Linked DNA regions of Xenopus tropicalis. The protein of the gene in region 2 binds, or shares a complex with, the protein of the main gene of each other region. Links are inferred from orthologs where the notes say so. Each region holds a gene or a part of one and is shown on either strand. Other genes may lie near its edges.

Region 1 (4,383 bases), on a different chromosome or scaffold from region 2:
TAATAGCAGCTACTTGTCACATCTACTTAACGTCAGAAAATCCCCTGCCATAGACAATACTGAGAATTGCCTCTGCAATTCAAAGATCCAAAGAAATCTAATCAGGGCGAGGGGTAAAAATAGTCAAATATCTCTGAAATATTTAGTTTACATTTGATTTATTGCTTCTTTAGTATGACTGCTCCAGTGCAGCTTATATGGTGTCACTGATTCACCCCATTGTATATGGTTTCCAACCAAAATCTATTGTATATATGCTGACTGGTACTGCACTGCCCCCTAGTGTATGAATTCAGCATTGATGCTCTTTTGTTACACAATGGGCCCAGTCAATGGGCAATAACGGGTGGCAGTCGGGTTATATTCTCACTAATTCTGCTCAAATTAGATTCTAATTAAATATGACCCCCATTTTTACCTGATCTTGCCCAATACCTACTGCCAACTGTAAAAACAGAAGTAGCACTGTCATAGCCTGGAAGGGACTAAGGGGTATGTTTACTAAGAATGGAGATAAATATCACCAGTGATGTTGCCTGTAGCAACCAATTAGGTCTTTGCTTTGATTTCTAACTTGTTGGTGACTGTTCAAATCTTATTGCTGAATGGTTGCTATGGGCAACATCACCGGAGATATTTATCTCCAATCTTAGTAAACACTCCCCACAATCCTAGGTTGGGAAGGTTAAAGGACTAAACCCAAAAAACTGTAACCCATGGGCACCTGTCCTACAGAACTCTAACACAAAGCATACACCAACACTAACCTATTGCCATGAATGCCCACCTACATTTGGACACCAGCTATGCAATGTGGTAGATACCACCTGTGTAGCCTATCATAACGCTGGGCTTAGAGGAGACGTTACTGGGGTCCTGCCTAGCAACAACTTACCCATGTAACAATAAGCAATGGCGTAGGGATTAGTGTTTCCGGACTTACACTTCATTGACAAGTTTCCTCTTCTTCAGCTCGTTCTTGTCCTTCTCATTCACATCATCGGCCTTTCCCTTGAGGATGAGCTGGAGTTTCTCCTTCACTGCGTCCTCTATGGAGTCTACCTGCAAGAACGGCAGGGGGTGAAAGTGAGGGAATGGTGAGGTGGAGAGAGATGGAAAGGTGAGGACAAATAGAACAGAGGAGAGACATAGATAGAGAGAGACACGGAAAGTAGAGGGACAAAGAGAGAGAGGAGACAGCTAACAGGGACAGACATCAGGACTCACCACTCTGTAGATGCGGGGCCCTCCTTCTGCTGCTTTATCCACACGGACCCATTTGTTGGACATGGCTTTACTGAAGCCAACTTTAGCTATGGGCTGCTTCTGCAGAGGATTCAACACAACAAAATGAGCCTTGTAATAGTCTGTGTGAGTTCTGCACTGAGAGGGAAGGAAGCAAGTGTGGCATCTCTGTACTAAGTGAGAATGCTGGGAGTTATAGTTCATGCTAGTGAGCCATGTATCACAGCCCCCCCCTACATAAATATGTATAAGCCAGGCATCCCCTCGGCCACTCACCATCAGCTCGCTCTGAAGCAAGCCTTCTTTGGGCAGGCTGTGGAAGACCCTGGCCTCGTGGCTCCCCTCGCGGGCAATCTCTTCCCCTTCTGAGCTGAGCTCCCATTTCTTGCTGGAGCGCTGTTCCGCCTCAATTATCTGCAGGTGAAGAGGGAGAAATGGCAGTATTAGAGAATAGCTAGGCAGCTCCATACTTCAGTCGGCTTTACCTTCCCCTCTATATATTTCCAGTTTTCAAATGGAAGGGGGTCACTGACCCCGACAGCCAAAAACCTATTGCTCTGTGACTCTACAATATTACTGTTATTGTTACTTATCTTTCTATTCAGGCATCTCCAATTCATTTACCAGTCTCTCGTTCCCACCACTGCTTGGTTGCTAGGGCAAACTGGACCCTAACAACCAAAAAGCTAGGTCCATAGGATCCTCAGGACCCGATACCTTGGGAATGGAAGTATGCTTAGCTGCCTGCAGTACCCAAATGGCCTTTCAGCTATCGATGGGATGCAGGGGCATTAATAGGTAGCCAAGAGACCCAGGGGACAGGCCTCTATATAACTGCTCTCCTACAGTCTCCTGTTGTCACTTACCTGAGCGTAGGGACCAACTCACAATATACAATATAAAAGTCCGGCTAATTAGTAATTCATTCAGATTAATAATAATCAGCCCTATAGCATCAGCCTCTGTGACATATGAACCTCATATTTTGCTTGATTACTTCCAGTGGCTTCTGAGTCGGCCAGAGGCCACTGAGCATGTGCCGTGCCACCGACACACAAAAGATGGCCTAACAAGATCTGCTGTGGGCAACTTGATAGGGCTGGATTGTTACTGTTTTAGGGCTGCTGAGTCTCTGGAGTGGGAAGGTAAGTCCAGTATATAATACAGCATTCTACCCTGGTAAACATTAGTTCTATTTTAAGTGCTAGGGAAAGTTTCCTTAAACTCCTGGGGGTGGCAAAATAGGGCCCGACACACACCCTATGAGAATCAAGGCCTGGGAAATAAATCCCCCCAAGTGATCCTATTCACCCACCCAGATACCTATAATAAGCCCCTGGAGCAGTCACACATAAAGGTCAGTAAGCACAAGGGTGGCTTATACATGGCTGACAGTTATCACTACTAGATGCCAACTTTGCCTGCAGGTTACAGGGAACTGACTGTCAGCACATAAGCAGCCAATGGGCACAGCTGAAGGAGCTGACTGCCAGCCAATGGGCACAGCTGATCCCCTGTAATGTCCCTATGGCGGGGGTGAGTGTTATTGCATCAGAAGCTGCCCCTCACCTGCCCCAGGCACTGCAGGCTCTTCACTGCCCCCACCACCTGCTGATGCTCCACGCCGAGCAGGGCCGCCAGCTCCAAGCTATCCACGCCTTTACTGCCTCCATCTTGTAATCTCTGTAACAGCTGCTCCGATACTGAGTTGTCTGCCATGCTGCCGGCCTGCTCACTGCGCCTGCGCACGAATCACCCGGAAATGTCATATTAGCTGCAGGCAGGAAGTCAGACTTCGGCCGGCTTCACTGAGATGCGAGTCTTATGCCGGAAGTACGCCATCTTGCTACTCCCATCGTAGCCCTCTCTGTCACCCCCATACATGCGATAGAGGCCATCATACTACTCTCACCTCCATCGAATTAACTATAGTTATATTCTTGCACCCTGTTCTCTGGCCGCCCCACGTAAGATAACGGGGTTATACCTTCTCTAAATAAACATTTGTTATGGTGCCCACAGGAAAAGGTCCTTTGTCTGGCGACCTATTTTCCAGAGTGCTTCAAAATCACTTAGGGGGAGCCTCCCAAAATTTGAAAAGTAGAAGGAGGGACCATTTTATAAAACCACACCTGAAAAGCATAACATACACAAAGTGCATCAGAAGACAGACACTGTGGCCCCAATCATTTTATGACATATTGTTGCACTAAGGATTTCATTACGCACTGTGGCACCTGTATATCATGACTCATGACAGACATTGGTAGCCAGGTGTTATGTTTTGAATTGGTGCCAGAGCAGGGACCCCCTAAAACATTGCTGGTCCTCCCCCAGTGTCCCCCTACTTTGGGCCGCTCCAAACTACAGCATCCACCAGCTCCCCCCAGCATCCACCCAACATCCTCCAGCTCCCCCCAGCATCCACCCAACATCCTCCAGCTCCCCCCAGCATCCACCCAACATCCTCCAGCTCCCCCCAGCATCCACCCAACATCCTCCAGCTCCCCCCAGCATCCACCCAACATCCTCCAGCTCCCCCCAGCATCCACCCAACATCCTCCAGCTCCCCCCAGCATCCACCCAACATCCTCCAGCTCCCCCCAGCATCCTCCCAACATCCTCCAGCATCCACCCAACATCCTCCAGCTCCCCCAGCATCCACCCAACATCCTCCAGCTCCCCCCAGCATCCACCCAACATCCTCCAGCTCCCCCCAGCATCCACCCAACATCCTCCAGCTCCCCCCAGAATCCACCCAACATCCTCCAGCTCCCCCCAGCATCCACCCAACATCCTCCAGCTCCCCCCAGCATCCACCCAACATCCTCCAGCTCCCCCCAGCATCCACCCAATATCCTCCAGCATCCACCCAACATCCTCCAGCTCCCCCCAGCATCCACCCAACATCCTCCAGCATCCACCCAACATCCTCCAGCTCCCCCAGCATCCACCAGCTCCCCCCTGCATCCACCCAACATCTTCCAGCTTCCTCCCAGCATCCTCCAGTTCCATCCCAGCATCCTCCAGCTCCCTCCCAGTGTCCTCCCCAACATCCTTCAGCTCCGCCCTAGTATCCTCCAGCTTCCCCCAGCTGCCCCTTAACTTCCTCCAGCCCCCTTCCAGCGTCCTCCCCAA
Region 2 (3,817 bases):
GCAAATATGGGCCCTATTAAAATATGAATGGCAGCCACCATGACTACATCCCTACATCCAGGGATTTGATAAATCAGGCCTACATTCAGTCAAAAGTAATGACTTTCCATATGCACTGGTATTTACTGGGAAGATTTAGAGAGCATTAGGTATAGCCTATGGTTTTGCATACAGTCTCTATTTGCCACTGTGTGGCAATTATCTAATATGGTGCATATAAAGAAAAAAGGGTCCATTAAAATGTATATAAAAGGTGGCATGGGTTTGAAATGGGTTTAAATTCAGCATCCAGTAATAATTACAAAATGACAGTAAGGTGTAGGCTACTTACTGGGTAAATAGAAGTCGATCCATCTGGCTGAATAACTTCTGCTGCCTCTACACTGCAAAGCAATAACACACGGGACATTTATAAATAAATATTGCTCACTGCCAAAGCACCAGGTTTCTACTGCAATTTACTCACGTGAATGGTTCAGCACAGTATTCACTAAACATGGTGACCATAATATCCAAGACTATTTTGGCCTGTGAAACAAAAAAACATTTTTAAGTGCAATAGCCCCTAAGAATGCACTGCCCTCGGAAACAACAGTAAACAATATACGTTGGGAAACAGTTTATTAACATAAATACAAATTAACAGCAAAACACAGATGTCTATACATCTACCTATGTTTAGGCTGCATATGTCTAGCTCGAACCAATGTAAGAAAATCAATGCCTGTACTAAGTGCTACATAAGGAAGTTATTGTCTAGACTGTCTGTGCCAAGAACCGTAACATGCTATTTTCCATTCTTTCCTATCTCCTCTCGCTTCTTTCTTTATGTTAAATAAAATTCAATAAAAACAATTTAAAAAAAAAAAAAAAAAAAAAAAGAATGCATTGCCCAAAACATATATCTGAGCTAAATCAGTTACAGCTGGGCATTACCTTTGTCAAATCAGTTGCGGTGCATTCAATGAATACGTTGCGAGTATTTAAGGTGATTCTTGAATGATCCCCTACATGAAAAGATATACACACTTTACCAATGCAGTTGAACGATGCAAATAGTAGATGCATTAATGACAGAAAGCAGCATGCTTGCATTAACAGGTGAATAGTAAAGGTCTGTATTGCTGGAAAGGAAATGCAAAAACACCTATTCTTGATTACAATACGCAGCACTTTCAACCTTAGCATTGCTAATTCTACCTTCTTACCATTGATGATCGGCGGCATGGACAGCAGCACTCCGTTGCGGTCATAGATTACTGGATAAACAGGCTTATCCTCAACAATGTGCAGATAGTGCTTCATATGGCTGTCAGTCTGGGTGAGGAACACATGATCAGTTCATTATACTGCTCCAGACAAGGGACACAAGCAATGGTAAGAGAGGGACTTTCCTTCCTATTACCTTTATGGACACTAACTGTATTATTGTTTAGATAGCAGTTCATGCAGTATTCAAGACTGTGCAAATTCCTAGGTGTACTGGTTTTTGAAGAGCTCCCTAAAGCCCTTTAATGAGGAAGGGCTGCGTAATTCACAAGAACATTTCTTCTTTGTAAAACTACAAAGGATTCACTGGTTCCAGTACCCATGCTGCAACCCAAGAAAACCTTTAATATAACAGGACTCCTTAGCAAATGCCTCAATAATGGCAAGCTAACCATATCGCTGCTGCCTGATTTGGTTTACAAAGTATTTTTTGAATAACAGATGCAATATGGTTTGCCTCTGAATACACAAAATCCCATATATTTATGGCCACTAAGGTTGCGGTTTTTATTTAAGCTTATTAAAAGAAAAAAAAAAAAAAATCTGTTGTACAATTATCTATACATTCTTAAATTAAATATAGTAAAATAGTAAATACAGATTCTTGATAAACTAAACTTCTCCATTTAGGCATGCAAGTAAATAAAATCACTACTAAGGTAATAAGAGGGCTAATTACAGCCCTGTAGAACCACTTCTGTAGCCGCTATTCAGGCTATGGCCATTTGTGCATCCCCTAAGAGAAAAAACTAAATATGGAAGATTATTAAAGTTGATTGAGCATTTTCTGTTAGGGAAGTCCTGTGGCCCACCAGCTGTTAAATTCAACTTCCTGCATCACCAGAGAGCACTACATAACATAAGGCTTGGTACTCACTCTGTACAGGTCCATTAGCTCTGGGGCTGTTAACTCCTTGCTTTGGTTCAAGGCCTTAAATTTAATACTTGCAGGTGGTTTAGCTGTGTATACAAATGGGCCAGAGATAGTGTCCAGGTCATGTGTGCCAATTGCCACCAAAGTCCTCCGCCTGTTAATTAAACCAAAATGAATGTCAGACTTGCAAGGAATAACATGCACCGCTGCCCCCAGCACGGCAACAAACTATTCATGTAGATATGTATGCACTGTATGTGTGTACAAATATGGTACACACATATACATACAAAATCACAAAGCCAGCTATAAAAAGCACAGTTATCTGTAGAAGTTATAGGTACCTGCAGATGTTCTGGTGAAGCTTCTCCTGCAGATCAATGAAACTATCATATCGTTCCTGAGTAAATGTAATGTTCCGGAGTACTGCAGCCACTGCATGGGGGCGAACTACAGCAGTCTAGAGGAGAAAACATGATGAATGCCTAAAAATCTTATTGTAAATTAAGTAACTCTTATCTAATAAATACAGAAATTGATTGTGTAATAGAGAGAATAAATGTAACCAATATAAGGTCCAATAAAGCAATGTTTCCGCTGTACAAGTTAATGGGGACAAATTAATGGGGAGTGCTCTTCTGAACTCCTTTGCAATCTGCATTTGTTTTTCTAGTTTCAAGATATAAGCAGTATTTACTGCAAAATAATGAATTTGAATCAGCAGTGCTATGAGCTGTTCAGTTTGGCCATCCATCTATCAGAAGATAAATTACTGAGCAAAGAAGAGTCTTCTGATGTTTATCTGCTTCAATCCGACCAGAGAGTCTAGTAGCTGAGATTGGGGTAGAGTTGCACCAGTCAACCATATCTAGAGCTCTGAATAACACTGGTCTGTATGGGAGTGTGGCACAAAAGAAGCCACAACTTAAAAATGTTGGAAAAAGGCTTTGTGGTCAGATGGGATTGCATGCATGGCACACATTTTGACAACTGTTGACATGCACTGTTGACAACTCATAACAAAAACATAACTAAACTTAAGTGTAGGTGTTTAACATGTATAAATAGGGATGTACCTCCTCTGTGATGAAAAGTCTCTGCAGCCCTTGATCTGATGGAGTGATCCTCTTGTACCTTGGTGCTTCTAACCTGCAAAGGAAAATATTATACAAATATATTAAACATATATATTTTTTTACTTAATGTGATATGGGAAAATGGCAGCTCTAAAGACTAGCCCCTTAAGAAAAGAAGGAATTAAAAGTCATTAACTAATCAGCAACACACACAAAAATAAAAAAAATTATTATTTTAGTGTAATTATACACACACATTTTAGGTGATTTTACTGACATTAAGTAGGGTACATTTTGCAAAAGGCTTTACATTTCTGTGAATTAAAAGTAATCCTTTACAGGCCATGTTAGTAAAGCTAAGCAATTATTTTACCATGTTTAATCACTGTTTGGTCAAAGAAGGGGAATTAAATACAAATACATATATATTATACCTGCCAATGTAATCTGTATTCATGTTTTAGCTCATATTTAAAGGAAAACTACACCCCCAAAGATACTTAAGGATTAATTATATTTTAGTTAGGATCAAGAACAGGGTACTGCTTTATTATTACAAAGAAAAACTGAATTATTTAATTAAACCGGAGTCCATGGG

The links.
Region 1: the proteins of farsb (region 2) and farsa are in contact, whole or in part, in a crystal structure (PDB 3L4G), measured with the Homo sapiens proteins. The link is inferred for Xenopus tropicalis from reciprocal best matches to the Homo sapiens genes FARSB and FARSA. Residues at the interface, in NP_005678.3 of Homo sapiens: Glu26, Phe29, Gly32, Leu33, Pro68, Ala69, Asn70, Ile150, Arg152, Asp259, Thr261, Lys262, Arg305, Lys316, Lys317, Val318, Gly319, Ile359, His360, Cys362, Asp363, Glu366, Ala369, Ile370, Tyr374, Asn375, Ile377, Gln378, Met379, Thr380; in NP_004452.1 of Homo sapiens: Ser221, Gly222, His223, Leu224, His225, Leu227, Leu228, Arg231, Ser232, Arg235, Leu239, Gly242, Phe243, Thr244, Glu245, Pro247, Asp249, Asn250, Phe251, Ile252, Glu253, Ser254, Phe263, Gln266, Gln267, Phe277, Phe278, Leu279, Arg280, Asp281.

What each region holds. Positions count from the first base shown.
Region 1 is NC_030679.2:139,734,066-139,738,448, reverse strand, and holds the start of farsa (phenylalanine--tRNA ligase alpha subunit), read right to left. Parts: upstream 3,005-4,383; 5' UTR 2,965-3,004; coding exon 2,815-2,964; intron 1,660-2,814; coding exon 1,228-1,659; intron 1,063-1,227; coding exon 944-1,062; intron 1-943.
Region 2 is NC_030681.2:125,109,113-125,112,929, forward strand, and holds part of farsb (phenylalanine--tRNA ligase beta subunit), read right to left. Parts: intron 3,293-3,817; coding exon 3,220-3,292; intron 2,604-3,219; coding exon 2,488-2,603; intron 2,298-2,487; coding exon 2,147-2,297; intron 1,318-2,146; coding exon 1,209-1,317; intron 1,008-1,208; coding exon 937-1,007; intron 529-936; coding exon 467-528; intron 384-466; coding exon 332-383; intron 1-331.